Oryzias latipes: one gene and its partners. The main gene of each other region encodes a partner of the protein of the gene in region 2 in a complex. Links are inferred from orthologs where the notes say so. Each region holds a gene or a part of one and is shown on either strand. Other genes may lie near its edges. The genes, in order: bud13, snrpe, sf3b2, scnm1, cript, prpf4 and usp39.

Region 1 (4,281 bases), on a different chromosome or scaffold from region 2:
CTGTACTTGAAGTACTAATGCCCAAATTTTTCCATCAGAAGAGTAAAAAAAAAAAAAAAAGTACAAAAACTTGTAGAATGTTTCAAACCTTGTGTTTTTGAGCTTTTTTCCTTTTTCCGCCGAAGCATGGCAGCCATGGGATCCCCGTCCCTCTCCTGCTCCCTCAACATGCGGTCCAGATCTTCGTCGTCACGGTGACGGGCCAAGGGCTTCTGGGCTTCCAGCAGGGCGTCCTCCAGCTTCTGCTGCTCCATCTGATTCTGAGCCAGCCTAAACACAAACAATAACTTGTCTTCTTACATGTGGTGGAAGTAGCATTTTCAGTGACTTGGTATGGTTTTGTGGATTTACCCTTTACCCCACTGGGCATATTTTTCATCTTTTGCAGCCTTTTCTCCTGCTTTTCTCTTCTGCTCCTCCCTTTCTGAGGTCAAATCCCTCCTTTTGCCACTTTTGTCTCGGAAGACCGTCTCCGCATTACGAGATTCATCTGATGCGTAAATAGTATAAATAGTATAAAAACACTTTCATATACCGGTACTTCAGAAATATAGAAAGTCTAAAGTTATACGATAAGAAAAGGGTTGTTTCAAACTCTCTTTTTTTTTAAAAGTAAAACTGAAAAACAAAAGCAAGGCCAACCTTCAAGAGGTTGATTCTTTTTTTCTCTGCGTCGGTTTTCCTTTTGCTCTTCCCTTAGAATCTCCACAGATACCAAACCAGCCTTTCCTCCGGAAAGCATCCTGTGGTCCTGAAAAACACACAAAAATATTAGATGGGGTTTGTGCTGCAAATTAGGTTTCACACGAATCCCTGAACAGCGCAGATCCCTCACATGAGACTGGCCAGGTCTCCGTGGTGGTGACAGATCTCCATCCGAGTCCTTTCCACTCCTCGAGTGCTTTCTTGGTGGAGACTGGTCGGAATCGGATCTCTGCCTTGTTCTGGAGCGTCTCCGAGGGGGAGACTGGTCAGAGTCGGAAGCTTCTCGCTTCGATTGCTTTTTCCGTGGAGGAGATTGATCGGAGTCTGAATCCAGCCTAACCTTAGTCTTATGAGCTAAAGGAGACCGCCGATCATCTGGCGACCTTGGTTTACCGTGTAACGATGAGCTGGGCTTCCTTCTAGTGGGAGAAGACTCTGAGAATCAAAGAGAATGTTTGCACTATATATATTAGAGTGCAGAGAGCAAAACTAGTAATCCTAATATGAAATAGAAAAAAATAAATGTGTTTTACATAAACATTTTATTGTGTCAATATAACTATTGATATTTTTAGTAACTACTATAACCCAAAAATCTAAGAGGTTCCAGCTTTAAGCTTATTCAATGCTTAAATGGCATTGGTATGCCGTTTTCAGCTTTTTCAGTGACTTGTGCAAAATGAGCATTGTTCTGTATAAAAGCAAGAAAGAAAATCTTAACTGTAAAATAAAACTCACCTTTACTTTTAACTTTCCCAGACTTCCTTAAATGTTGCCTTGAAGGAGACTTGCTGGGAGAGTCATGGCGTCCTCTGCTAGGAGGAGATTTATCCGGAGAGTCATGGCGTCCTCTCCTAGGAGGAGATTTATCCGGAGAGTCATGGCGTCCTCTCCTGGGAGGGGATTTATCCGGAGAGTCATGGCGTCCTCTCCTGGGAGGGGATTTATCCGGAGAGTCATGGCGTCCTCTCCTAGGAGGAGAAATGTCTGGAGAGTCGTGTCTTGGTTTTTTGAAAGGGGAACCATGTCTCCCACTTTTCGATGACAGCTCTGGTGAGTCATGCCGACTTTTTTTAGATGTTAAAGGCTCCTCCTGCTCATTTTCTTCGTCAATTGTTTTGTCTTCGTCTTCATCCGCTACAGAACAACACAGTTAATATGAAAAACAACATAATTTAAAAGAAGCCAAATTTATATACTGCTTTTATAGTTACCCCCAACTATTTTCCATCTGTTACTGGTCCTAAAGGCCTCCATCTGTTTCACCTCTTCTGGCCGCTCATCGATGAACTCTGCAATCTGAGAAGGTAAATCAAAGTACAAAATTTAGGTTTCCTTGGCTTTAAAACTTTAATGTACATAACATAGACCAAATCAAATCATTATTTACTCTGTTCAAACATCTGTGTTGACTGCTTCACACACAATGCAAGTTTCCCACATATTTCATTCAAACCAATGTGTCAAATCTATCTTGCATCGATTATCCTGCATTAAAGCAGATCAATTCAATCTCACGTCAGATGAAATTCCTGTGTTACGTCTGGATTTACATTTCAATAATGTTAACAAAAAAGAAAGACATACATTTTATTATCATCAAATCAAATATCGCCATCAGACTTTCATGCGTGTAAAAGTTAAACATAGTAGACCGTACTGCGGGGGAAATGCTAACGCAAGGCTGCTAGCTAACTCACCACCGGAGCTTCCTCTTCATCCTCTTCGACATCCGGCTGCTGTTGGACCATTTGTCTCCAATCAATATCATCGTCTACTATTTTAAGTCTAGATAAAAACAACGAAGTAACACAAAATAAAAACGATTAAACTCATAGAAACAAAGTTCCAAATCAAAAATAGCTTAGCATAAGGAAACTAGCTTGGATGCTAACAGAAAGCCAAACGGCGCAGTATTTCGGTACTCACCTTGTTTCAGGAAGCTTTTTTCGTTTCTTCTTGCCTTTTCCTTTAGATGCACCATGGTTGTCGTCAGCTGATAAATACCGCTTTAAGTACTCAGCTTTAGAAAGCTCGGGTCCGGTTCCACCACCGACCGCTGCCATCTTTGTATTGTGGGAAACTACGGGTCGCGTCAAGGGTCAATGTAGACGACGAGGAAGAAGACGCGTTTCTGTATTATTATTATTATTATTATTATTATTATTATTATTATTATTATTATTATTATTATTATTATTATTGTTATTATTGTTATTATTATTATTATTATTATTATTATTATTATTATTATTATTATTATTATTATTATAACAAAAAAGTTACTGTTATGCATAAATAAATACATTGAAGATAAAGTTGACTCCAAAGAAGTTAAAAATGATAACTACTGGGCCACAATCTGCTGCAAGACTGTGTCTGTGGTGGGACCCAGTGACTGGCATACAAATAATGACTGTCACCAAAAAGGCTAAAATTGCCTGATTTCCCTAATTGACCCACAAATTTAGTCGGTCATACACCGATGCCTAGAAAGACAGGAGAGCAATGTTTTTGAATTGTAAAAGTCTTTACTCTTCTTTGCATACGATTTCAATTCTTGTTCTTATTTTTTTATTTGTCGATCATTTTTTTTACACTAAAACTTTTTCAAAAATATAGGCCGTCACTACTTGCTTTTTATAACAGAGACAAAAAGACCTAAATATTGTCCCTGTTACATGTCATGTCCAATATGTAGAGACAGATTAAATGTCATGGGTTATTGTTTATCTAAGACAGTAATAACCAGCTGCTGGTCTAGTATGATTTCCATGAATGACAATGCATTTAGGCTCCATTGAGAAAATGTGACATTTCCAAATACTGGTATTTATCTGTCAACAGTGTTCTTTGATTTATGATTTAAAAAAAACAACAAAAACAAACAAACACACAAAACAATTATATTTGTTCAATCATAAATGAAATGATTACAAGCAAATTCACAGAGCTCTTCTTTTATTAACAAGCAAACAAGAACACAATCAATTTGCTGCTTTTGCAGTGAGGAAAAGGCCACAAAAACTATTAGTGCTTTTTAATGTAAAAGAAAAGAAAACATAAAATCAATAATACCTCATTAATAAGTCAGCAACTGCATCTCTTAGTCTGCCATTAGACTGTCTCCCTCGACGAAAAAGCTGCACTTTCATTTCTACTAATGGTTAATTTACATTCAGTACTCACAGCTCTCAGCTCCTAAACATTTAAATCGTCTACAGTGGAAACATTTACCAGTGTTTTTTACAGAAGGAAGAGAGATCTATTCTGTGACAGAAGCGAAAGTGCTTAGCTTAGTGAGTATCTGCAAAAGCCTGACTGTTCTCTTCTCAGTGCCATCAGCTGTCATTGTGATGAAGGAAAAAGACCAGGCAGCCAATCAAGAACCAGGATCTCTGCAGAAACACGCTCACTGCTGAGCATGGCACCAGGGAATCTGTAAAGAGGGAAATTATTGAAGCACACCAAAAATCTATCGAAAAATTCTGCCAGCTTTTGGTTAACACTCATTCCCTTCAGCTCTTCAGTCCACCCACCTTTCTCCACTGTGATTTGTTTCATTTCCCCATATAT
Region 2 (4,236 bases):
GAAAAAAACAAAGCCATTTATTCTCAAAGGTTGTAGAGAAACTCACATTTATGCATAAAATCGTAAGCAGTTAACAGAAAAAAAAGACAGGATCTGCAGTCGTCACTGGTGTCACTAGGTAGAGACACTCTGCAGCAAGGTGATGTTGTCGCCCTTTAACATAACCCGACCTGTGAAACAAGGAAAGAAATTTATCTTGACATTTTAAAAACTGACATTCCTGAGTGTATAACAAATAAATACTGACTGGAAAAATATTTCTATGTTTTCCTCAAACAAATATTTTGTTACAGCAGTTCTAGAAACAAAAGCTAACAGTACATGTTAATAAATACAAAGAATATTCAAATTTTTCATTGTAAAATAAATAAATAAAGCTGTTCTAATAACTGCTAAGATCAAAAAATAGTAACTGAAATTTAACAAATTAAACAAGCTAAAGAGTCTTACCCAGTGGCTTTCTGTTCTTGGTCTTCATGTGGACCTCCTCAGCATCATCTAGAACCAGGTTCATGTACTCATCAAAGCCCTGGAAAATAAAATAAAAAGGAAATAATCAATTAACTACTTTCATAACTGAAGCTGTTTGGATTCATTTAAATTCAGGCTCTCAAGGTTTTTCCCCCCCAAGAAAACGGCACAGGTTGTTTGTTTTTATTTCGGCTAAAAACAGCATAATCATAGTTAAAAGATCACCGAGAATGTTCTGAAAATAGATTAAAGTGTCAAGAGTGTAGGACCGGCAATTTCAATTGGTCTCCTAATTCATGCTTAGTTTGTCATTATGCTGTTCTCATTGATCATTTACCTACTGTATTGTGAGTCTGAACCAGTGTGTGTTTTTTTTGTTGCCGTTTTCAAATACATTTTTAAATCAGCTGCAGAGTTCTGCTCTACTGGTAAGAAAGGTGCCCGCTGCAAAAGCAGCTAAAACAGAGCCCCAAAATAGTCGTAGAAAAAATTTCTGCAAAACAGTTTTAAGTTGATTATTGTGGATCTAACACCAGCCATTAAGAACTTTTACCAAGCTCCAATAAAAAAAATAACTAAAATGCTAGGTCAGTGGTTCTCAAACTTTCTCTTGTTCCCCCTTTTGGAGCGGAGAAGGAAAACCTGGAATCGTCGATCGTTTTTACAGTCTATACCAGTTTTAAAGTAACTGTGGCACACATTTGGAAAGTTAACAAACACTGTGAAAGTAAAATAAAGAGAAATCTTACAATGATGCAGCCTTCTATCCGCATGTTCACCTGCTCATAAAGCCACACCTGGATTCGTGAGCGCTGCAAAGCAAAGATGACACGAATCAGTATTTCAGTCACCACCGAGACAAAAGGTGAACCTGCAAGAGCCTTCAATACTCACGTTCTGAAGGTATCTGAAAATGAGGTTCTGATGAACAGAGTCAAGGAAATGACATGTCTAAACCGTTTCAATGTTACAGAAGATATTTCAAATAACATGAACTAGTCATTTCAATTTCAGTAGAGTGACACAAACTGTTTTGCACTTTAACCGGAGAGCTGAGATCCTGTTAAATACCAGTGAATGTCATACATTTCAATGTAAGCCAGTGAAAAAGGACTTCACAAACCAATTACATGACCGAAATGATGAAATAAAGCTATGGATGACGCAGAATTTGCTCGAAAGTCCCACTCAGATCATTTTGATCTATTTTTGAAGTATTATCGGCGGTCTTTTAACGTTAGTTATGCCTTTTACCAGCTTACAGAAATTCTGCAATTGTTCTAGAGTTTTACAGTTTACTATTTAACTTCTGCTGATGTATCCACGTTATAACGTAAACTGTAGGGCAACCATGTCAAAACAACTGAAGACACGCTTAAAAATGGATTTAAAACGGGTTCTGGCATTAGATTTTCTCTTATTTATTGACTTTGTTAGGGGTTTTTTTACGAGTCAAATTTTAATGGTATTCTTAATTTCTTTAACATCTTTTTTATTTTTTTATAGATGACATGTCACTTCATAATCAAGAAAAATAAGAAAACAGGTCTCACACACTCACAGGGACAAACTTGAGTTAAGTTAAAAACCAAATAAAAAACTACAAAATATGACCAATTGTTACAACAAATCAAAAGAACATTTAATTATCAGACCAAAGTAGTGCATTTAACTAATATTATTAGTTTAAGTCGTTAAGTGCAACATCTCGATTGTTGACTTCTTTTTTCACTAAAAGAAAACTCTGCCAAAGGTAAACGTGTCATTGTTTTCTTCTTTCCAATTAAACAAACGTATTTTTGTAAAATGTATAATAGTAAATTGATAACCCATCATATTGCTATGTACGTTTAGAAAATGCTAAAAATGTTTGTTTCAAATTCAATTTCTTTCGAAGTACAACGTCGTGCTTAAATTTGATCGATAAACAGAAAAATACGTGCTTCAATACTGAAATTAAAAAAAGTCAGTAAATATGCATTCCAATGTATTTAGAAAGTCATGTAGTACCTAGAAAAAAAAGGAATACAGTTTACCGATGAGCAAACACGAGAAATAACCGATTAGCATCGCTGCTAACAAATGCTAACAGCAAAGAAAGGATACAATGGGCTGCACCATAACCTTCTGCACCTTCTGTCCTTGTCCTCGGTAAGCCATTCTCTTCACACGCAAAAAAGACACGCAAGAAGTATTTCGTTAAAGAAATATTGCCTTTTACAATTGAATGATTTCAACGTTCAGCTCACGATGCCAAGTTGCCTTAATGGCGGGTTTCTTTCCGCATCCGGTTCCTGCACTGAAAGGTTTCCCTTCACCGAACAAGCGCCACCTACAGGCAGGATGTCAATACTGCACAATTTGATATTTGGTCAAAAATTACGTTCAGTGTGAAATCCTTCAAATATGCAGACTAATTATGACTTATAAAAAGTATGAAAACACATCTGGTACCAATTAAAAGGCTAAATTTAATAATTAAGTTGTTTTTGAGTCACCATATTTTTTGTCAACGTCTGTTTCAGTACATATTTATTTCTTAATCCTGAAGGGAAAAATACAAAGGTTTTGCTTCGACTTTTTTCTTGTACATTTTCAGTAATCGTTTATTTTTGCTTGGATTAATTTCAGTGATTAACACAAGTACCAATAATATTTGAACAGCTTTCATATAGCAGAAAAGAAGGTTTAAATATTGATACATCAACTAGTTTGGATATAGCGTCATTTACTTCATAGATGTTCAATTGTTGGATGTATATAGTCTAATTTATCATTTAGATTTTTATTTTTTTATTTTCCTATTACACATAATATTAACAAGCATACAGATATGTAATTACTGTAGTTGTTTTTGCAACACAAATTCAATAAGTGAAAATTGTTGATAATTTTTGTAATTTTTCCATAATTGTTCAAACTTTTTATTATTATTATTTTCTTACAAGTAATTTTGTTTTCAATATTAGAGTTTAATTTTGTAAACTATTTCCTAAACATTTATCTTGACCAGGTTCTACTGTCACAGCAGTGACCTATTTTATCCAAAAGAGGGCAGCAGAGAAAAACAAAAACATAAGAAACAACTCGAGCCCAAGATGAACATTAGTAAAAGGTTTCACTTCACTTTCCTTATAAATAAACTTAAAGTTCTAATCTGAGTTCTACAATAAACATTGTTAAAAAGTGCAGTCGATTTAAAGAAGTTGTCTATAAAAGTATTTAGTCAAGAAGGTGAGAGGTACAAATGATTCTTCTTGTTCAGTAGTGTTCTTTCTTCAAAAAGGTTTAGAATTTATCGCATAACTTTTGTTTTTGATTAAATGTGAAATATATTTTCACCTGCAGATGCAGACCTATGAATTTAGCAGGAACATGAGCTCCATTGAGGAGTGTTTTTTCCCCACCTAAGATTTTTGTGAGCTAAATTAAGAATATAAAACATAAAAACATGTATGTGACTTTCTAATTACATGTGTGTTAAATTAAATTAAATTAAACCCCACTCTCTCTCACACACCTAAGTGTGCGAAATTTGTTTCCGCATTTGACCCATCCTGGGGGAGCGGTGAGCTGCAGACACAGCTGCACTCGGGAACCATTTTGGTGGATTTAACCCCCCCAATCCAACCCCTTAATGCTGAGTGTCCAGCAGTCTTTGGTATGACTCAGCCTGGGTTTGAACCCATGACCTTCCAGTCTCAGGGCAGACACCCTAACTCTGAGCTGGTTAGAGAGAGATTATGCAGATGATTTTATTTATTT
Region 3 (4,273 bases), on a different chromosome or scaffold from region 2:
TTTGTTTTGGTTTTATAATCAGTAATAAAAAAAATCACACTTAAGGCAGATCAGGTTCTGTTGAAAAAAATAAAGCAAAAAAAAAAAAAAAATCAGACTTTAAATTAAATAACCAAAAAACACATATCCATGCTATACCCTAAAATAAAAATGTTTTAGGGGCCATACCTTACGACAGTAACAGTGAATGTAAAGAATCTGGAGATATTTTATTTTGTAAGTCTAACCTGCTGGATCGACAAGCTGCTCCTGCCTGATCTCCTTCAGCTGAAGGATCTTCTCCAGAGCCTGTGGGATCTTGGGCCCGCCAACACTAATCTCTTCATTCTGCCAGATCTGCAGGAAGAAAGGAATTGCAGTTTAACACTAAACCAGCAGGTTGTCGCATTTTAATCAAAAAAGTTCAAAGAGTTTAAAAAAACTTCAAAAGAATCTAACTTTGCTTAAATCACACCAGAATTAGTGTTAACCTATGTCTAAAACAAAAATTAGAGAAGTGCAGGAAAAACGTACGTCTCTGTTATCTTCTCCTGGAGGGGGTGGCACCTTTTGTTTATGAGATGGCAACAAGGTGACACCAGGAGGTAAAGGCCCGTGAGGATCCAAAACTGAAACTTTGGTTTTGTGAAAAAAACAAATTTGTGATTGATAATGTAAAAATATACTATTAAATGCTGGTTTAACGTCAGCTTGCAACACTGTAGGAAGCAGAGACGTCTTCCCTTGACAAACATTTTGTGACATTGATCTTGAATGGAATCACTTGTAAAAGGTTTTAGGATATTCCACAAACCTCTTACTGCAGAGACAGCTGGCTGCATCTTTGCCATTTCATGATGTCGTTCTTGTTCCAGCAGCACGGCAGCCTAAGGAAGAAATGAATGAGAGATGCAAGCAATATAAAATCACAATAAGAAACAAAGAAAATAAATGTCTTCCTTATTTTAATTGACAGCTGAACAAAATGTGTTGTTTGCAATTCCTTACCCGTTGCTGCTGCTCCAGAAGTTCATTTTCGTCCCCCTGTTTTAGCCAAACAAAAAAAGGCCAATGTTTAGCAAATGTGACTGTTTAGGTGTTTTCTGTTAAAGGTCTCTAGTAAAAAATGTTGGCTTTACCCAAATACATTGAAAAATTGTATCTATGATCGTTGTTTTTACCTAATTTACTTTGTAAAACTTACAATGTTTAAATACAGTCCAGTAATTTTGTTTTGCCGAGTACTACAATATTAGCGATTAATGTGTCAAATGCAGCAGTTGGCCAGTTCTGCCATCCCACCTGATGCTTGGCCCTTTCTTCCTGTTGTAACACAATGGCAGCTCTCTGCTGAACCATTTTAAGCTGATCGTCCTGTGTGAGACCAGGAGGTGGCATGTTTGGATGATCCATTGTCATGTGCATGCCAGAGGGAGGAGCTCCAGGGGGTATCATGTTCATTGCTGGGATCATTCCCATCCCTGGGGGCATAGGTGGCATGGGCATCGGGGGCATGGGAGGAATGCTCGGCACCTGAAAAAAAGAAATGAAAATATTGTGAAAAGAGCAATAGATAGGAGGCTGACTGATATGAAATTAATCTTTTTTATTTTTATTTTGGGCCATTTATTTTTGCTTTTCCACCTGACACATTAAAAATTAGCTAAACATCACATGTCTACAGTCTGATTTATAAATTCAGAAGTTGAACAATGCAGATAAGTTAAAAACAGTCAAAACTAAGTCCACTCAATAGCCTTCATTAGCCAACCAATTATTCTTTGTTAGGCTACTAATGAAATGATTTCCCTTAGTTGTTTGTTGCCATATTAACTTGAGATTTTTGCAATTGAACTATTATCCCTATACAGCATACTAAAACATTTTACAAAATTAAACATACATAAATCCAGATAGACATCGTAAAATTTAAAAAACGTTCCACACCGTTTTAATGGCTCAATGTGAAGGGCTACAAGAGAGATTACCCAAACTATTGGTATAAAACCCTCAAAAACATTTTATTATTATCCATTTGAATAATAGTTTTTAAAATCAACAAGAAAAAAAATGAATTAAGAATGGGAAGTTGCATTTGTGTGGGTGTGATGTTGATTTCGAGGATGAGCTTACCTGCATCATGTAGCCCTTCAGTCTGTCAATGAGTTCCTCTCTAGAGCCTAAATTAAGAGAAGCACGACCATTGTATTTTATTTTAATAATAATTCATCGGTTTGGAGTTATTTATTAACGTAATCAGAGTACCATATGACGTAAAATACCAATTATTGATCACATTATTAGCAAATCCTAAGCAGTTCACAACAATGGAACTGTCGATCATCATCATCAGCAAAAACTTAGCTAGTTTTTGTAAGAAATCATCAAAAGCAATCAATTGTTACGTTTGGTATTCCAACTGTAAAATATTAGACAAAAACGGCTTTTAAAATATGCATATGAAAATACTAAACGGAGTCAAACCATTCTGCGGGCCTGTTGTTGGAGCGCTTTATGACGGAGGTTCAACGACTATGTGCTCCAAGCTAATGCTAGCCGTAAGCTAGCTTCAAAACAACGCGCTTTGATTTTTGCACTATATGGGAGCTTTTCTTACCCATTGTTGGAGCTCCTAGCTCCACCAGCTTCCCCTGAAGCTCTGGGACGCTCCATGTGTTTAATGCTGCGATTACACTACCTAAATCATTCGGGTCCGTGCCCGGCGGTCCGTCAGAAGCCATGTTGAGCAGTCGATCAACGGCGGTGGAAAAAAGAGATAAACTCGCGAGAGACAGAAACGAGAACAAGAAAAAAAAGCAAGGCATTATGGGAGAAACGCAATGGTCTTAGGGATATGAAGTTGTAAATTTTCCTTTAATTTTCCTACGGACGTCTCTGGGTGTCAGTGTTGGCCCGTTAACTGGTTGAAATATGATTTTTGAAAACGTTTTTTTTGTAAACAAATTGATATATTTGTGTAAATAATGTAAAAACGTTGTCCCATTGCTGCTACTACTACTGCTACTACAATGAATGACAACAACAACTACTAATATACTACTACTAAAGACATTGAAGTATATTCGCATTTTCTTTGTACTAGAACAAAATCAAATCCATGACAGGGCAGGGCTCAAATACGTGATGCTGTATAATTTGTTAAATTGATTTTGGGTTGTTAAGAATTGAAATTAACAGAAGTTACAAGTATAAAGGTAAATATGTGCCACAACTTTTTGTAATGTGAGCTAGTTTTCTGTATATATAGCAGGGGTGTCCAACTCATTTTCACCGAGGGCCACATCAGCATAGTGGTTCTCCTCAAAGGTAACTAAATATAATGAAAAATAAACGTAATTATTCCTTAATGTTAAATAACTCATTTATTTATTATAACTTGTTAAAGTGACACAGTTGCACAGAAAACATGTTTGCTTGTTACTCTAGCATAAATCCTTTTAAATTTTATTCTGTCAGGTTAGGTTATATTGACAGTGTTTAAGTCCTAATGTACAGTTGCCCAATCCGATATTTCTACTCCAATTCCCCTTAGATATGAATACACACCAAGTATTGTATTTGGCTCGCGGGCCTTAAGTTTGACAAGTGATATAGAGGTTGTGTGATTGCAGATGAGAGACAGGTGAGTAATAAACGGAAGCAGCTTGGGAACATTCTGGTTTGAGGACAAGGGCTGATGGGAATTGTACTATTGAAACCAAGAAGTGGTCAGTGTTTAGGTGATTGTTCCCACTAATGGGAGATTATTATAGTCCATTATTCCAGTCCAATGCATCGCTGTAAACCCTAATGAGTTGACTGAACTTAAAAATTATTGTGTAACAGATTACGCAATAGTTTTTAAGTTATATTATTAAAACTTTTAAGTTAACATTAATTAAAATTTATATTGTCAGTTGGCTTAAATTTGTATTATTTCATATTAAAAATATTAAGATTCCTCAACTTATAAAAGAGAGATTATTTACTCAAAGTTTTTAATATTTTCCAACTAAAAAAAACACTTCAACTAACTATATTTTTTATAATATTACTCAACTCATAAAATATGTAAAATTCACTCAAATGTTTTATAAATTTTTTAACTCATTTAATGTGTAGCATTGAAAATATTTAAAATTCTTCACCTTAAAATGTATGGACTTGAAATGTATTCTAAACAGATGTATTGATACTGCCCCATTACAACATTTTAAAAGCGAACATTGATGAAAACCAACAAACATGAAAGCCACACAATAGTGTTTGCTTAATACACTATTTTTAATTGCTC
Region 4 (4,026 bases), on a different chromosome or scaffold from region 2:
TGATAAACTTTCACAATTATGAATTTATTATCTCAACCTTCCATACGTTTATTGAAGAACTTTGTTAAGATTTGGTGGATTTATTACTTTATTTGTTGATAGGCGTGCCATTTGTTTATGTCAGGATTGGACGCAGATGTTTTAAAATGTCAAGTCTTGTGTACATCCCATATATTTGTTACCCTATAAATCACAATGTACAGAAATGGTGCAAACACAAATAAATGAGTGAGAGAACAAATCAAGGAAGCAGAATAATTTCAACGGGCCGCATGTGAAGATGCTGGAGAGGAGCTGGGTGTGGAGCCTGAGGCAGAGGACTTCACTCATTTTATCAGTTTACTGCTTGGACTGTTAAGCTAAGAGTTTCTAAAACATAGTTTCTGTGGCCTGCAGATTCAATCTAGCACTGGTGACAAAAAGGAAAAGAGAGTTTTGCACCTTTTCAGTTTGAGGTAGTGCTCCATCTCTCTTCGCCTCTGCGGCGTTATGAGTTCTGCCGTTTGTCTCGACTCAGACTGACACTGAATTCTGTCTTTGGATGAACAAGACTCTACAAAAATAAAAATAAAAGCATCAGTTGAAACAGAACCATCAGTTATTTTAAATAAAATATCAAAATATGATTTCTAGGAGCAGATTTTACCTGTGAAACAATCACTAGAATCACTTGTGGATGCATTGTCAGAAACTTCTGGTTTCCAACATGCAGATGGGAAATTGTGTTGAAATGTGTTTCCAGCAGTGCTCGACTGTCCTTTATTCAACTTTGTACTGAAAATAAATAAATAAACAGATATATGTTCACATCTTTACTTCCATTTTAAACTACAGATGAGTATTTTAACCTTAAATGATGACCAACCTGGTTTTTCTGTGGCAGCTGTTGTATGGAACAGTCTTCAGAAGAGCATGATGGGTAAGTTTCCGGGTCTGTGCCAGTAAAGGTGCCGAACTGGAGGGCTCCTGCAATCACAACAAAAGAGACTTGTCTCTCAGACTGAGCTCTGACAGACTCCAACTCAGCTAAATGCTCCATGTGTCCTCTGGCCGGCTCTGCTCATGTTTTCCACCAGCAGACACCCGCTTCAACTCACGCTGCAGAGTCTACAGGTTGTCTGAGTCACGTGGCAGCCACAAGCACGTACTGGATGTCACACAAGAATACGACTTATTCTTATATCCATATTTAACATGTTACAAGCAGCGACATAATATCTTTACAGGAGTACAGGAGGTGCATCCTTTCTACAACTGTCATTCCAAAACAAGTCAATAAAGTACTATAATTCAGCAACAATAAAAATTTAACCACAATAACACTAAGTATTTAGTCGTCTCTGTAAAAACGGTCGGTCGGTCGGTCGGTCGGTCGGTCATCACACGGTCATCATGTCATTGTTTCGTGTGATGGTCGGTCGGTCGGTCATCATGTCATTGTTTCGTGTGATGGTCGGTCGGTCGGTCATCATGTCATTGTTTCGTGTGATGGTCGGTCGGTCGGTCATCATGTCATTGTTTCGTGTGATGGTCGGTCGGTCGGTCGGTCGGTCGGTCGGTCGGTCGGTACGTCGGTCGGTCGGTACGTCGGTCGGTCGGTCGGTCGGTACGTCGGTCGGTCGGTCGGTCGGTCGGTCGGTCGGTCAAAATACAAAATTACCCGCAGGTAAAATGATCAAGTTGAAGCTCCAAACCTCTTTGTCTTCTGCTCTGACATAATCTTCATGTTTTCTTTTTGCAATTTCATTCTTGAACTTTGACTTTTTCCCATAAAAGGATTTTAAACCTAAAACACAAAACAAAAAAACACAACGGATATAAAAGCATGCACCAAAAGCACATGCATAATAAAACTTTATTTAAAAAATAAGAAAACATATATGACATATTTACATGTCACACCCATTCTGGAGTGACATTTACATCCATTTTCTACCAATACTCTGTTATGTAGCATTAATGTCGGAAAACAACGAACGTCAGGCGAATGATGCTCACACCTCCTGTCATTAGTGCCTTAATATGACACACCTGTTACATCAACAACACAGAAGATCTGTTTGGGGCCAAATGTGCAAACACTATCTGAGAGAAATGAGCCTACAGTGTTTTGTCTACATCTAAATATGACCACCAAGACACTTTTATACTGGGGAATTTAAAAATTTTCCACACTAAGAGTCACTTTTTAAGGAGGATATTTACCTTCTAAATGCTTCTTCCCTTGCCTGTGGACTGTCAACATGTCAACTGTGTCAAACACTGGGCGATACGAACACACAAGGCACGTGTACCTGTGTGGAGCGAACGCAGAAAGGTGAGTTACTTTCACAACAAAACTGACACTTAGGGTTTAGTTATATTCACCTGCCATTACTCAGAAGAGCAGCTTCATCTTCCGGAATAAAATTGGACAAAAGGTCAGATACACGCCGTTTCTGTAAACCAACAGCCCAAATCATCAGTAAGTATTTCATAGCAGATGAAAAATTTACATTAAATACTTTACCAAACAGTTTTCATTTACTCTGTGTACATTATATCCATATGAAACTTGCTACTAGCTAAGCTAGCAAAACAAATAAAAAACGACAGCGTATGAACTTTAAGAAAGCCTATTCTTTTATGAATACAATGTATTATATCATTTTAAATACCTTTAAAATATTAAGTTGGCTCCCATCATTTCCTTCCCTTTTGAATGACATAATTATATCGAAGTAAATCAATGGTATAAACACCAGATTAACGGCTAGCTCAATGAGTTAACTCATTGGGCTAGCTTCTCTATACGTCACACTATCCCGGAAGTGTTGGTAGTGCTGCATTCAGGGACAAACATGTACACTTTTTTTGTCCACGATTTCCAGCTAACCACGTTGCAGTTTCCCATCGTACCATTTCATTTATTTATGGTCAAGTTAACTAGTCTAACAAACCATTGTTAAAATATTATTTTACATTTAAATTGATTTGTTTGCATGTACTCTTAAGAAAGCATCGATGTGAAATGTTTATAACATCACATATTTTTTGTAAATAAATCGCGAAGGGGAAAAAAACTGCCTATTTTAATCAATGAAATTTTAATTCATACTAAACAAACTCTGATTAAAATAAAAAAAATAAAAATGTTATGTTTTCATTTAAATTTCAGTATTCAAATTACTTTGAACACAACCCACCCAATGAGAGCCGTCATTCACAGCGGCAGCCATGGCAACAGACTGCAGCTGACTGAAAAAAACAACATATTTAAAGTTTTTAGATATGTTTTTAGATTGTTTACTGACAGTTAAGCTATGTTTAAGGTGTTTTAAGTAGTTTTTCTTCAATTCCCGACTGTTGATAAGGTTCAGGCAGTGCCATTTCGGCACTTTGGCAAGAAGAAGATGAATTAGTCGATACTTTAGCAGCTAGCAGGTGAACTGGGCTTGCTAGTTTAGGACGACGTCAAACCAGTTCCAACATTAAAATTGCGTACGTGTTACTGATGATTTTCACATAAATAATTATCGGATATGTCCGGACAACGAGCGGCTTTGCCATCCGGGAGAGGCGGTCTTCTTCGCGGAAGCCGAGCTATGTCGTACGGCAGCTTGATGCGATCGTCGCCGGCGTCTCCGGTCCGCCAGAGACACGTTGAACACACGGTTCAGTCCGGAGACACGCTCCAAGGTCTGGCCCTGAAGTATGGAGTCTCTGTAAGTATAATAAACCAGATTTGTACTCCCTACTTTAGACAATTAAAACAATTTGAAATATTAACAAGGAACATCTTTTGTTTCCACACTAAAAGTAAAATCTATTCATTGGTTTTATGTTATGACATAATTTTTTTTGATTCTGACATTTGTTAGTTTAAAAAAAAAACAACAACATTCTTCTGTCTTCCAGATGGAACAAATCAAGAGAGCAAATAGGCTTTACACCAACGACTCTATTTTCCTGAAGAAGTCTCTGTCGATCCCTGTTCTGTCAGACCTGAAAGGGATTCATTTGTCTGAGGACTGTGAAGAACAAAGT
Region 5 (4,025 bases), on a different chromosome or scaffold from region 2:
AGCCTTTGGGTTTCACTTGAATAGCAAAGTTTGACAAACATCTCAATAAATAAATATTTTATTTTTGCCCATTTAGTTGTTGTTTCACAGCAGTTTGGGTTGTGCATATATTCAGGCATAATTTTTAGCTCAGGGGCTATTTTTGACCACTTCATCAAAACCTGCAATATTTGGGGCACAACATGCAATTCTGCAATCAATGTAAAACCTTGTATCCACTTCTGCAAGCCGAGTGCTTGGGGCTGGGGTCGAGGTTTGTAAAAATATGGCTTTTGAGGTTTGAATTTCATCACTCAGTTCAAATACTTTACAGACATAAACAAACAGTTAAGTTAACCTATTCCTATACCTTTAAATTCTTTGTATCAGTCACCAGGAACCCTAAAAAAATTACATTTACATCAAAGGATATTTTATAAATTAAAGTGTGTAGTGAGAAGATAATAAAGGACTTGCCAACATGTGTACATTTATATAAATGGGCATCTGTTATGGAAGCACAAACATATGCCAGCACAATGTTGGTTATAGTAAAGATTTACAAAATTACAGACAAATTTATATCAATATTATGACTGAACATAAAAATGAAAAACCTACTTAATACTGTTCTGCTTTAATATGATTTTTGGTTCTACAATACATTGTAGTGTTAATTTTTGACATGTTACCTTCAATTTGTATTGAAGAAAATAAAAATAGAGTTTAAGTGCACAACTATACCTTTCTTGTAAGCACAGCCCTGGCAGTAGTGCGATCCAGGCTGATGAACAGAGCTCTTGCAGATTCTGCAGATGGCAAAGCCCGTCTTACTGTAAGGGTCGAACCTGAGAAAAACCACAGTTAAACATTGAGAATTAGCAACATCAAAGAACCTTAACAGCAAAATAAACCACTAGTGCTTACAGAAAGCTAGAAACTACTACACTGCCATTTGATTTATGAGTAAAAGTTTTTTCACAGTGCAATACTCACCTGGCCTTCTTAGATGTCAACATCTTGTTTTCATTTAGTTTACGGCCTCCACTCTCTAAGAAAAATAAAACAACATTGTGAGATTATATATACACATGTATGTACATACATACATACCAGTGGCGATTTCTTTAAGACTGCAAGGGAAGCTCTGCTTCCCTTATAATGTCACAAAATAAATGGTCAAATATGTACTATTGTATTGTATTGTATTTTATTTTATTAACATTTTATTGACTAAAAATGTGTAAGAAAACGTTCATCTCAAAGACGAGTTCGTTAAGAATCAGTTACATATAGCAAGTCGCCTGACTCGATTTCCTTCTCATACATTCCCGCAGCATCACAGTGCATTTCTCTAAAGAAGCCCAGCGTCCATTGACTTCAATCGGGCTGCTTTGAACATTTTTTTTCTGCGCTTCGAAACTAGATGGTCATTGGATAAACGCTGTGATTATGTCCCGCCAACGGATGCTCAGCGTCTCTGGGGGTGAGTGGGGAGTGGGCCAGCCCAAACTCCGAGCTTCTCCGTGATGATTGAAGGGTCTGTTAAAAGACCGCCTTCTGACTGAAGCTTTTCGCTTATTCACATTTCTCAAGTTCAGTCGAACTAAAAACTGCTGCAACCTATTTCTTTGATAATTGCTGGGCTAAATTGCTTGATTTTCATCATACATTTCACACAATTATACACCACATTGATTGTTTCAGTTTTACAGAGTTTAATATTTTTTTTTAGATAGTTAATTCTTCCCTTTGATTCAGGAAGACTGAGGTCAGAACTTCAAGTCCTGTTTTCAGATCAGGACTTGCAGGGTAACAGGGGAAAGCTGTATGATTACTTGGTGTTCCTTAAAGACATGGAGTTGGACAGTCCAATGCCTCAGCTTTACAAACTGTTCTCATTAGTGGCAACAATTGGAGTTACATCTGCAGGTGTAGAAAGGAGCTTCTCCTGTTTAAAGTGACTTAAGTCCTACACCCGAAACACAATGGGCTAAGGCTGTTTAAGCAGCCTAGCTCTGCTGGCCATTGAGAGGACATTGGTCAAGTCAGTTGAGACACCTAGTTGGTACGACAGGGTCACAGACCATTTTCTTGAAAAGGAACGTAGGGCATAAATACTTTTAAATAAATAGACAATTTTATGATGTAGGCCGAAAATGAGCCGACAGACAGACCGACAGACAGACAGACCGACCGACCGACCGACCGACCGACGGGGAAAACAGATATGTAAATGAGTACTGTTCTAATAAATATTTTAGCAGTAGCTTCTCCTTCCATCGTTTCGATTCCTTAATGACGTTCATTTACAAGACAGATTTTTTGGGGGCAACATATTTATTTTACCTGTCGTTCCACGATTGTCTAAATTATTAAACGTGTAAACATTTTTGGATGTTTTTGGATAGAGACTACGTTACCAGTCGTATTTCGTGCTCCATCCTTCCAAGTGTCAGGAGTGATGACCTTTCCGAGCTTCTTTTCGCCTAAAATATTAGGAAATCCCACATTAACAAAGAATTATTAATAATTAACAAAGCTAACTACGAGCAAGGAAAACCAAAACAAATGCTAGCATAACAAAATATTAGCCACTCAACAAAACAACAAAAATGTCACTAACTAACTATATTAACTAAGTCATAAGTGTAAAATTATGTAAGAAACAAGGCGAAAGTGCGATATTTACATTTTTCACAAACCATCTCAGCTGCGTTTACTTGGCCTGTCTTGATATAAAATGTGTACAAGCGTTCAAGCTAGCTCTGCTCATGTAACTTCCGGTTGTCTTCGTCAACTTGTACAAACAAATCTCATTGGGTAATCCTGTCAGTAAAACGTTATGTGATTCGTTCACTCCGACTAGAAGCGCATTTCTAAAATCCAGAATAAAAGTAAAATGAGAGTAACAATATTTTCGCCACGGAATCAGCACTCGAAAATATAAATTTCACTTTAGAAAATAGTATTTTATTATAAAGTGTTGAATATGATTTAAATATGTTGGGTAATGTATGTCAAAACAAAGAAATTGGTAGAAATTAACAATCAAAAGAGAATCTTCTGTTTTATTGTGAAACGCAAACGGAAATTGCTTTTTTTTTTTCATATTTACGGAAGCGTAGTCATACATGGATTTGCGTGTCCTTTCGCCTACCAAAATTCTAAGACACCTCTACTGAAATTATCTACATTATTCTATTGTCTTGTTGTGAAAAGTGAAAGTCTTCATCATGTGGGACCACGAAATCAGAGCCATGGTGTCGACCCACGCTCTGATCGCCGCTTCGATGTTCATGGCTACGGTGCTACCTGCAGTTTTTGTTCTAAGCTTCTCGGTGTACGGCACTCACCTGTTGTGGCTGTACTGCACATCCGGTGCTGTGAATGCTGTCAGTGTCGTCGTCTTCTGGCTCCTCGGCGTCACACCGTCCACTAAAAAAAATACACTTGGATATAAGGTCAGAATGTCTTCCCTCGGAAATGTCTTTATTTTGTCCAAACCCAAAGAAATGTGCTTGATTTGTTTAAGGTTTTTGCCAAATAGTCATACGTATATGAGAGAAGTATCAGAAATAATTATTACACAATTTAAAATAATAGAAAACTAGGTTTTTCAAAACAATTAATTCCTATTATTTACTCGTAAACGTTTTGTCTCGTTTTTAAAAAACAAATTTGCAAATGGACGTTTCAGTAATAATTAGAAATGTGTATTTCTGATTTGAACACATTTTTAATTGAGTTTATAAACATTTGCTACAGTGCTTTATTTTCACGTTAAACATTTTAAATTCATATGACAGTCTATATGCAATTGTTGCTTATTAACATTTTTCTGCTACAACAAACTCATATAAAAAAATAATTTTTCTGAGCTTTTACATATAAAAATTGTTCATTTTTTAAGTGGATTTTTCTCAAATGTCTACGTTGTAACTTTTTGGTAATAATGATAATCCTGTTTCTTTCCACAGCTTTCCAGGCTGTTTCGTGCCTGTCTGTACTTTTTCTTGTCATGTCTGTTCTTCCACACTGTGATT
Region 6 (4,181 bases), on a different chromosome or scaffold from region 2:
AACAAATATCAGCAAAAACACCCAATGGTTTAATTTCATTTCACTTAAATTTAAGTATAAGGTGGAGACATTAAATGCAGACATCAAATAGACAGTGGAATTCATTAGAAGCCTGCTCTGAATGGATTTGATGAATTTTGACCAAATTTAGTAGAATTTTTCCTTTTATATTTTAATATCAATTTTTCCATCTTAAGAATTGCATATAATAATTTGATGACACACGCCTTTCTTGACACACAAGGTCACTGTACATAGCAGTAAAAACAAGAATAAAAATACATTTAGAAAAATAGGATAAAAAAACAATGTGAGAAAGCTGGAGAAAAAAAGAGGACCGGAGAAAACGAGAGGAGGCGTCAACTTGGAGGAGCTCAGAGGTAAACAGGGGCCAGGTTATGGAGGGATTTGAAGGTGAGGAAGAGGAGGAGTCTGAATTGAATTGGACGCCAGTGCAATTGCTGGAGGAAGGGGGGGGGGGGGGGGTGATCAAAGGTTGGAGTTCTGGAGACAATATGGGCAGTGGAATTCTGGACCAGATGCAGTTTATTACGGATTTTGTTCAGGAGACCAAAAAGGAGCAACTCAAGTGTGAATCAAGACAGAAGTGGACAGTGAGAACAAGGCGGAGACGATGAATGTTCATAACAATTATTATTATAAAGCCATCCCCACAACACGATAACGGCCCGCAGCCATTGAGCCGCATCGCCTCCACCGCTCACATGTTTATATTTACTCTGGAGATGAGTTTGGAAATTGTGTCGTAAACCCGCAGGTCAGAAGAAAATGTAGCCGTCAACAGAGTAGAAGTGAACCCAATCTCTGCACCTGGGGGGTATTCCAGAAGTCATGTTTAAACTCCCCTGACTTTAACCCTGAACTCTGGCTGAAATCCACCTGAACTTGCTTACTCTGGGTATGTCGGTTCCAAAAGTCCGGATACGAGTTAGCGTAATTACGTTCCACTTGGTAACCCTGGGTAAATGCACGTGCACGGCATGTACATAAAGACATTCTCAATGGACCGCCGATTTCTGGAGTCACCATGGAAACGCGCACTAGTGGTGCTAAATAAACTCATCCGCCTCTTCCTCCCTCTCACTCATGGTGCAGAAAGAATTAAACATAACAGGACAAAATAACTAGACAAAACACAGTAAAACAGCTAAACTAAACACATTTGGTCAAAAACCCACACTTAAACCCAAATCCGTCCAGACAGGCAAAGGGAATGGTATCCCACAATTCCTTGCGGTGCAGATCTAACAGCAGCACCAAAGTTACACCTACTTCATTGAATCAATTTGAATGAAAGTAAAATAAATGTCTGATAACTACGTGTTATTTTTAAGCTGACTGAACTCCAAAAAAGATTCATCTTAACTTAAGCAAATAATTAAGTTAGATGAAAGTATAAAGTTTCTCTTTCCAACATCCATATGTGGTCTTATCATCCTCTCATGGTGGAAAAAGTATTATCTGAGCTTCTTCATCCACTAAATCATCTTCAAATGGACACGCCATGCTGCTTCACATCTCTGAAAAACAAACTAACCTTCAACTAAACCTGCTCCTGACCAGGTTATGTTCAGAGCATGAGTTGCTATGGCAACTTGACCTACCCTGAAACATACCTCCATTTCTGGAACAGAAAGCTGAGGTTATCCACTTCCTTAGCCTCAAACTTACCGTGGGAGCTAGCATAACCTGCTTTCTGGAATACCCCCCTGGTGGTTTCAAATCATCTGAAACGATGCCTTGAAAATGTACATAACGGGTCTGCTTTTCATAATTACCCGGGACAGGACCCTCCGACCCTCTCGATTGACGCCTGGCCTCCTTCTCTAAAAGACGATCACTGACTTGATCTGCACTGATTTTCACCCTTATGAGAATGTTATTTTCGATTTCTATCATTTTAATCAGGACAAAAAGGATTCATATTTTAATAAAAATATTAATTTTTTGCTAAATTCTATATTCAGCTAAGTCCCCAACAGCAAACCCGAAGTGATACTTAGAAATAAAATGTAAACATGACATAAATTCTTCACATCTGTTAGCATCAATAAGCTCTATCATATTCAGTTATTCTATTATTTTCTTCTCTAGGAATCCATCATTTTATGTTAACATGTGTACGTTTGACTCCCTTTGTTTGCATTTGTCTACGAAATGAATAAAGTTAATTAAAAACAAATAAAGTTAAATGAAAAACAAAAACACAATATTCCTTGTTAGCCGGCTGAACTTCTCTGTTTCTTTCAGATGCTCCTCCCCTATTTGGAGATTTTGGTACGGTCGCCTTTTTAAACGATGAAGCATTTTAGTCGACAGTAGTTTTAATCTTCTATCCTTGGTAATTTGATGTTTTATACCTGTCCTATCGTAAATGCCAGCCTATTCTTACGTCTTTTCTTTGTTTTGCGTTTCTTGAGGCAAACGGACATTCAGTCTGTACTAATGACGTCATCTACTAAACACTGAACATTTCTTCCCTCCATCACCCTTTTTGCAGGCGAAGCTGCACAACAGTTAGAACCTCCAACCAATTTCTGCAGTGGAACCGGTTCCGATCCACGCGGGGGAATCTGTGGCTGATTGAAAGCGCGTGCGGCGGAGGAATAAATTAGATGCTGTGAGCGCGTGCTAGTCCTTAACTGTTTTTGCTGCTACAGCTTCGTTACTTTTTTCGTAAACTCACCTTAATCCGACAAAGCTGCCTCCACGCGCTAAATGATCCGGATATATGTGCTGTAACCGCTTCCGGGTCAACCTACTACTTCCGGTTCACCGGAAAAACCTGGATACGCGCGTCTTGTGTCTCAACAACAGGTCGTGGAGCTCCGCGAGCGCGCGTTTTACCCACTCGTTCAAGGTAAGCTCACTGGTAAAAGCGCGTGACGAACCTAATTTGTTGCTAACCAGAAGTAAAACTGCAGATCACGTGGTGTTTGTTTATTTGCTGAATGGATGTCCAGAAAGGAGGTCAAACGTCCGGAGCTCATCTCCAGGTCTTGGGTTCCTTGCAGACGGAGCAGAGCTCGTGGCTTTCCTCCGAATCAGAGATTCTGTACAGCTGGCTGTCATGACAGAAACAGGTGGTTGTCAACCAAAACCTTACACAAACTGATCCGTGTGACCCAGAGCATCCTCATTCTTTTAAGACCCTTTGACTGAACTGGAACCAGTGGAGCATCAAACTAGAACCTTTCACGTTTCGTGGTTAGGTGTGTCAGATAATCAGCAAAGTACGTCCACTTTGCTCCCTAGGGGGCGCTGTTTTGGCTGCTGGATTCAGACCTGAGGTTCAGTGGAGAAATGGTATGGTTCTTATTGCTGGGTGTAGTCACAGGGCGTCTTCAATTCCAGAATAGCCCAAACCCACAGAACCAGAGATGAGCTTAAGTTCTAGTGTCCCATAATTTATGTAAAAGAAACAGAGCTTGTTCTTTAAAATGATATTTTGGAGTAGCTTGTGACTTTGAGGTCAAACACTGTAGACTTCTGACCCCCTCTTTGTGGGAGTCTGAAGATCTGATCCAACCAGAGGTTCCTGAGTAAACCCCCACAGAGACCAGGGGGGTATTCCAGAAGTCATGTTTAAACTCCCCTGACTTTAACCCTGAACTCTGGCTGAAATCCACCTGAACTTGCTTACTCTGGGTATGTCGGTTCCAACAGACCGGATATGAGTTAGCATAATTACGCTCCACTTGGTAACCCTGGGTTAATGCACGTGCACAGCAGGTACATAAAAACATTCTCAATGGATCGCCGATTTCTGGAGTCACCATGGAAACGTGTGGAGAAAAAAAGAGAGAGAGCTGTACTTCAGTAAGACGGATTCGGACATTTAAATGACGGCGTATGAAGATTATACGTCCATCAATAAAGTAACACGGCTGCATCATCAGCAAAAGAGAGTTTCTGCTTGGAGAAAAGAACAGACAAAGTAAACGCACGAGTTTCTGATCTTATTTCTATTTTCCTTGTGACGCATATATATACAGGGCTCCAGACTAACTTTTTTCACTGGGAGCACTGTGGCCCCCAACTGAAAATTTTAGGGGCACAACCAGAAAATTTAGGGGCGCATACCGTAAATCAACATTCTAACCCAATCTACTAATTTCCACTGTATTACTAATAAATACTTTAATAATAGATGCAGAAAT
Region 7 (4,184 bases), on a different chromosome or scaffold from region 2:
TGCTGTGTGAAAACAAAGAGCAGACCAGTTAAATTGAAGGACATTGCATGCAGACAACCAGCACTGGCTCTAAAATAGACTCCTTACATTGGAATAAAAGAGAAAATTACACATCAAATAAATGAATTCAGAAATTCAACAGATTTACTATAAACTAGGAGTGAATTTCTGACTCACATGGCTTCTTCTTTGTGCCTCCAAGAGCGCCATGCATGGCGTTTAGGAACCATGTCATGAAGTCCACAGCATCACCTGCAAACCAGAAAACATTGAGCAAACTCTACAAACTTATCCAGTGAGTTAAAGATTGTGGGGCAAAAAAGTATTTGGCAGCCACTGACTCTGCAAGTTGTCCCGCTCAAAAAGCTGAGTTTGGTCTGTAATGTTTACCATAGATATACTTCAACTGAGAGATAAAATGTCCAATAAATTATCCAGGAAATCACATTGTCAGATTTTTAGAGAATGTATTTGTATAATAGTGCAGAAAATAAGAATTTGGTCAACAACAAAAGTTCACCTCAATAGTTTGTAATGTAACCATGATTATCTATGACAAAGGTCAAACATAGGTCTTAAGCAGGTTTACAAACACTATAGCTATTATTCTGGACCATTCTTCCATGCAGAGCTGTAATGTTTTGAGGCTTTTGCTGAGAAACATACTTTAAACTCCCTCCACAGATTCTCTTTGATGCCAGAGTTATGTTTTTGGGATCAGTCATGTTGGAAGATCCAGCCATGTTTCATCTTTAGTGCTCTCATTGATGGAATGAGGTTTTTGCCCAAAATCTCAGCCTACATGGCCCTATTTATGTCAGCACTCCACAGGCCACAAAATAGTTACCTTGTTTGGTGATTTGGAAGTTTTTCTTGCTGCACAGGACTACAGCCTGCAGCATCTCGTGGGGCGACACGTGGGCCTTGAAGTTTCTCGGATTCCAAAGTTTGCGCATCAGCTCCCCAAACCGCTGCACCAGCAGAAACATGATGTCCCCTGGTGGCCTCCGGATGTCTCTGTAGTTCTCCTCCTCAAGGAAGTAGTTTCGCAAAGGTGGGACGTTGGAAAAAGCCTAAAAACAAAAGTACAATATGAAACCCCCTGTTATTTAAGTTGATGCCACAGCCTCAAAAATCAACATCAGCGGGGTTTCATACCTGTAGTACAGCATTGGCATAGTCGTTGGCTTTAATGTTATTAAGCCCTACAATCCCTGGCAGGTAGGTTGTACCATCGTAGGCTCTGTACAGTTTACCATGTTTGTCCAGACCCTCAATGTGCTGCTTGGTGAAAGTCGGCTTCAGCACATACTAAAGAAAAAAAGAGCAAGATTACCAACACAAAGCAAGAGCTTACAAAAAATAAAAAAAGGAGGGGTAAAAATTACTTAACATAAAACATTAAAAATTTAAAAAAGAAATGTAAAAAAAAAAGACGTATTAAAATTACAGCCAAAACTCTAAAAAGTATACTTTAAGACATTGCTAAATAACTTATTTTTAGATACTAGTACTGATACTTATGTGCAAAATATAGTAAATAAAATATACTATGCAATCAAATACATTGGCCTTGTATAAAATATATAAATATCGAACACATTTTTATGTACTCTGGGTTCACAAGTTAAAACTATTTTTAAACACAGAATATGTTAATGAAAACTATTGAAGTGTTACACTGACAAACAAGGAATGTGAGCAAAAGAATCTATCAATCATATCTAGAAGAAAAACAAAAAACTTTGTTTAATTTTAACATGTAACTGTTTACTTTTCCCCCCAGAGCAATTACCTTTTCATTTATACATTGAAAAACAGCAGATTTACTGCATTACTTACTGTGATGTCTTCTAGCGATGAGTCAATGATCTCATAGTTGTCTGGCAGACAGTAAAACTTGAGTGTGTGCAAGTTGAGGAACACATGGTGAGAAAACTGGACACTGTGAGTGTAGGCATGAGACTTCTGACCTCTGCCTGCAACAAGGAATGCAAACGTAAAGATGTTTAGTGTCATCTAAAAAGGAAAATAACAATGTGCGTTTGATGTGCTAATATGTCTACCTTGAAAGTATTTCCCACAAATAAGACAGGCATAAACATTAATGTGAGACAGAGAAATGGAGCAGAGCTTCTCAAAGTCAAAATCCAGAACACTCCTGCAAGACGAGAAGAAACTGAATTACAAGAAGAATGCTAACTAGCTTTAGCATACATTTTCAAACATTTCCTTGCCTGTTTATGGTGTCCAGGTAAGGACAATGGCGGCTTCTTCGGTCTTCAACCACACGTCCTCGCCTAAATTTGACTGTCACTGCAAAAGAGAGCAAATCACGATAAAGCTCAGTAGACGTAAACGGAATTCATTTTTACGAGAACAACTAACTACTAGCAATCAAAACATGCTTGCTAGCAAGCTAAGATTTTTCTATTAATCGATCTCTGTTTTAAAATAAACAGGTTTTACATATATTTTTATATGCTGATTGTCTTTGTCTTACATGTGAAACCATCAGTTTATTGGTGTAGAATGGAACTGACACAATATAAACTTTTTATGCTAGAAAATGCTCTTCTGGCTGGCTAACAAAACGAAAAACGGACGTAAGAGACAAATCAGCATACCTTCGTCTTCGTTATCCTCGTCGTCTTCTATTTCCTCCCTTTCACGCTTTAAAGACATTCTTGTAACTATAAGTTAGCAAACGGTTTGCTAACGAAACAAAAATTAACAAAACTTGAAGGTTTACGAGAGGAAATGAATGGATATTATTCAGCTCCTCGAAACTCGCGGTGGTTGTACGTCGGTGGTAATGGCGTGGGAAACCAAAACGTAACCCGGAGTTTAAAAAATAAATGTTTACCCCCATGTAAACTCTAAGTAATATATTTTATTTATTTGTATACTTCAGTTTCTTTTTTTGTCACAGAAATATAACCAAAATAGTTTATATTTTAGTTCAATGTGCATTGTAGGACTTACACGCAATAAATTAATTTGTAGAAACTCCGGGAACGCTACGGTTGGACATCCATTTATACATCGTTAGCTGTCTAGCTTTTTGTTAGTATTTTGCTTGTTCTTCTTTAGCTGTGTTTTCTTTCTAGAGTGTTTGCTGAAATGGATCTTATAAGAGATGAAGGAGTGCATGAGCTGAAGTACAAACCGGGGGGCCGTCTGGACATGAGCCACGGTTTCCTTCATCATATTCGGAGGAACCAGATTGCCAGGTGATTTCCTTTTTGCTGTTAGCCGAGTTAGCATACTTACTTGGGATGTCAAATGTCAATCTGTAGCTGCTGTCATTTCATGATTGATGTGAAATGATTTTTTTAAAAATGGCAGACAGTGAAATAACATTTTTTTAAAGTACCTAAAAGGCTTAAAGTCAAGTTTATTTTTACTTTAAAGCAGTAGAAGCAAAACCCTATTGGACTGACTGAAATTTTAAAAGGAGCATTAAGTTATTCGGTTTATGTTTTATTAGTGTAATTTATTATTTAAAAGTGGATTATTATATAAACTTAGGTTTGGTGTGTAAAACTTTTAAAGTTCCTCCTTGATAAATTACATACGCTGAGTTGGGCTGTTTTACAGCATCTGCTCTCTGTCTGGTCTTAAAAAAAGCTGCTACAATAATGTATGATAAGTATTTTGATTTACGTCCAAACAAAAAAGTTTGTTTTAATTCCCACACTCTCACTCTTTATTTAATCATTTAAAACGGATTTTTAACATGTTGATTTTATTTAGGCAACTTTGAAAGATGAACTATAAAGCTAAAAGAACAGCAATAATAATGTTGCTTTGTTGTGCGGCTCTTTAAATTGCTTTGATGTATGAAAAACAAAGCTGTTTTGCCTTAAAATAATAAAATTTTAAAAAAAGTATTATCCTCCAATGTGTAAACAGACCTAGGAACATTTTTAAGTTCATGGCCATGACCAAGATGCTCTGTGTTTTATTCAACTGTGCAACTTGCTATGTTTTTAAGAAATAATCAGAAAATATTTCAATTTCTTTATAAGAGATGACTATGATAAAGAAGTGAAGCAAGCCAAAGAGCTTCAGCGGCACAGGCGCACCACAACCCCCAAAAAGCCTCGGCGACCTGACATCCAGGTGTACCATCCTCGACGGAGACGTAAGACTGACATATTTCTTACTTTGCTGCTTTTAGA

The links.
Region 1: snrpe (region 2) and bud13 share a complex: the UniProt entries of both Homo sapiens proteins name them as parts of the minor spliceosome. The link is inferred for Oryzias latipes from reciprocal best matches to the Homo sapiens genes SNRPE and BUD13.
Region 3: snrpe (region 2) and sf3b2 share a complex: the UniProt entries of both Homo sapiens proteins name them as parts of the minor spliceosome. The link is inferred for Oryzias latipes from reciprocal best matches to the Homo sapiens genes SNRPE and SF3B2.
Region 4: snrpe (region 2) and scnm1 share a complex: the UniProt entries of both Homo sapiens proteins name them as parts of the minor spliceosome. The link is inferred for Oryzias latipes from reciprocal best matches to the Homo sapiens genes SNRPE and SCNM1.
Region 5: snrpe (region 2) and cript share a complex: the UniProt entries of both Homo sapiens proteins name them as parts of the minor spliceosome. The link is inferred for Oryzias latipes from reciprocal best matches to the Homo sapiens genes SNRPE and CRIPT.
Region 6: snrpe (region 2) and prpf4 share a complex: the UniProt entries of both Homo sapiens proteins name them as parts of the U4/U6-U5 tri-snRNP complex. The link is inferred for Oryzias latipes from reciprocal best matches to the Homo sapiens genes SNRPE and PRPF4.
Region 7: snrpe (region 2) and usp39 share a complex: the UniProt entries of both Homo sapiens proteins name them as parts of the U4/U6-U5 tri-snRNP complex. The link is inferred for Oryzias latipes from reciprocal best matches to the Homo sapiens genes SNRPE and USP39.

The regions. Positions count from the first base shown.
Region 1 is NC_019872.2:13,070,039-13,074,319, forward strand, and holds the start of bud13 (BUD13 homolog), read right to left. Parts: upstream 2,801-4,281; 5' UTR 2,772-2,800; coding exon 2,635-2,771; intron 2,494-2,634; coding exon 2,406-2,493; intron 2,005-2,405; coding exon 1,920-2,004; intron 1,843-1,919; coding exon 1,444-1,842; intron 1,141-1,443; coding exon 836-1,140; intron 752-835; coding exon 643-751; intron 491-642; coding exon 352-490; intron 271-351; coding exon 89-270; intron 1-88. Other genes in the region: uncharacterized protein LOC101171185, read right to left, coding at 4,047-4,144, 4,245-4,281. UniProt on the Homo sapiens protein: Involved in pre-mRNA splicing as component of the activated spliceosome. As a component of the minor spliceosome, involved in the splicing of U12-type introns in pre-mRNAs.
Region 2 is NC_019863.2:23,629,254-23,633,489, forward strand, and holds the start of snrpe (small nuclear ribonucleoprotein E), read right to left. Parts: upstream 2,801-4,236; 5' UTR 2,632-2,800; coding exon 2,578-2,631; intron 1,393-2,577; coding exon 1,366-1,392; intron 1,284-1,365; coding exon 1,221-1,283; intron 530-1,220; coding exon 451-529; intron 171-450; coding exon 115-170; 3' UTR 1-114. UniProt on the Homo sapiens protein: Plays a role in pre-mRNA splicing as a core component of the spliceosomal U1, U2, U4 and U5 small nuclear ribonucleoproteins (snRNPs), the building blocks of the spliceosome.
Region 3 is NC_019876.2:19,504,089-19,508,361, forward strand, and holds the start of sf3b2 (splicing factor 3B subunit 2), read right to left. Parts: upstream 2,801-4,273; 5' UTR 2,721-2,800; coding exon 2,597-2,720; intron 2,160-2,596; coding exon 2,113-2,159; intron 1,513-2,112; coding exon 1,282-1,512; intron 1,024-1,281; coding exon 988-1,023; intron 867-987; coding exon 794-866; intron 615-793; coding exon 514-614; intron 337-513; coding exon 228-336; intron 1-227. UniProt on the Homo sapiens protein: Component of the 17S U2 SnRNP complex of the spliceosome, a large ribonucleoprotein complex that removes introns from transcribed pre-mRNAs.
Region 4 is NC_019874.2:27,122,062-27,126,087, forward strand, and holds the start of scnm1 (sodium channel modifier 1), read right to left. Parts: upstream 2,801-4,026; 5' UTR 2,709-2,800; coding exon 2,658-2,708; intron 2,439-2,657; coding exon 2,368-2,438; intron 2,295-2,367; coding exon 2,206-2,294; intron 1,787-2,205; coding exon 1,695-1,786; intron 967-1,694; coding exon 866-966; intron 775-865; coding exon 647-774; intron 554-646; coding exon 442-553; intron 1-441. Other genes in the region: lysmd1 (lysM and putative peptidoglycan-binding domain-containing protein 1), read left to right, coding at 3,522-3,704, 3,898-4,026. UniProt on the Homo sapiens protein: As a component of the minor spliceosome, involved in the splicing of U12-type introns in pre-mRNAs. Plays a role in the regulation of primary cilia length and Hedgehog signaling.
Region 5 is NC_019877.2:12,480,875-12,484,899, forward strand, and holds the start of cript (cysteine-rich PDZ-binding protein), read right to left. Parts: upstream 2,801-4,025; 5' UTR 2,688-2,800; coding exon 2,672-2,687; intron 2,469-2,671; coding exon 2,403-2,468; intron 1,031-2,402; coding exon 976-1,030; intron 828-975; coding exon 724-827; intron 1-723. Other genes in the region: pigf (phosphatidylinositol-glycan biosynthesis class F protein), read left to right, coding at 3,216-3,443, 3,960-4,025. UniProt on the Homo sapiens protein: As a component of the minor spliceosome, involved in the splicing of U12-type introns in pre-mRNAs. Involved in the cytoskeletal anchoring of DLG4 in excitatory synapses.
Region 6 is NC_019870.2:4,014-8,194, reverse strand, and holds the start of prpf4 (U4/U6 small nuclear ribonucleoprotein Prp4), read right to left. Parts: upstream 2,801-4,181; 5' UTR 2,708-2,800; intron 1-2,707. UniProt on the Homo sapiens protein: Plays a role in pre-mRNA splicing as component of the U4/U6-U5 tri-snRNP complex that is involved in spliceosome assembly, and as component of the precatalytic spliceosome (spliceosome B complex).
Region 7 is NC_019867.2:12,332,842-12,337,025, reverse strand, and holds the start of usp39 (U4/U6.U5 tri-snRNP-associated protein 2), read right to left. Parts: upstream 2,801-4,184; 5' UTR 2,686-2,800; coding exon 2,628-2,685; intron 2,317-2,627; coding exon 2,238-2,316; intron 2,162-2,237; coding exon 2,067-2,161; intron 1,980-2,066; coding exon 1,843-1,979; intron 1,312-1,842; coding exon 1,159-1,311; intron 1,074-1,158; coding exon 848-1,073; intron 253-847; coding exon 178-252; intron 3-177; coding exon 1-2. Other genes in the region: c9h2orf68 (UPF0561 protein C2orf68 homolog), read left to right, coding at 3,124-3,233, 4,032-4,147.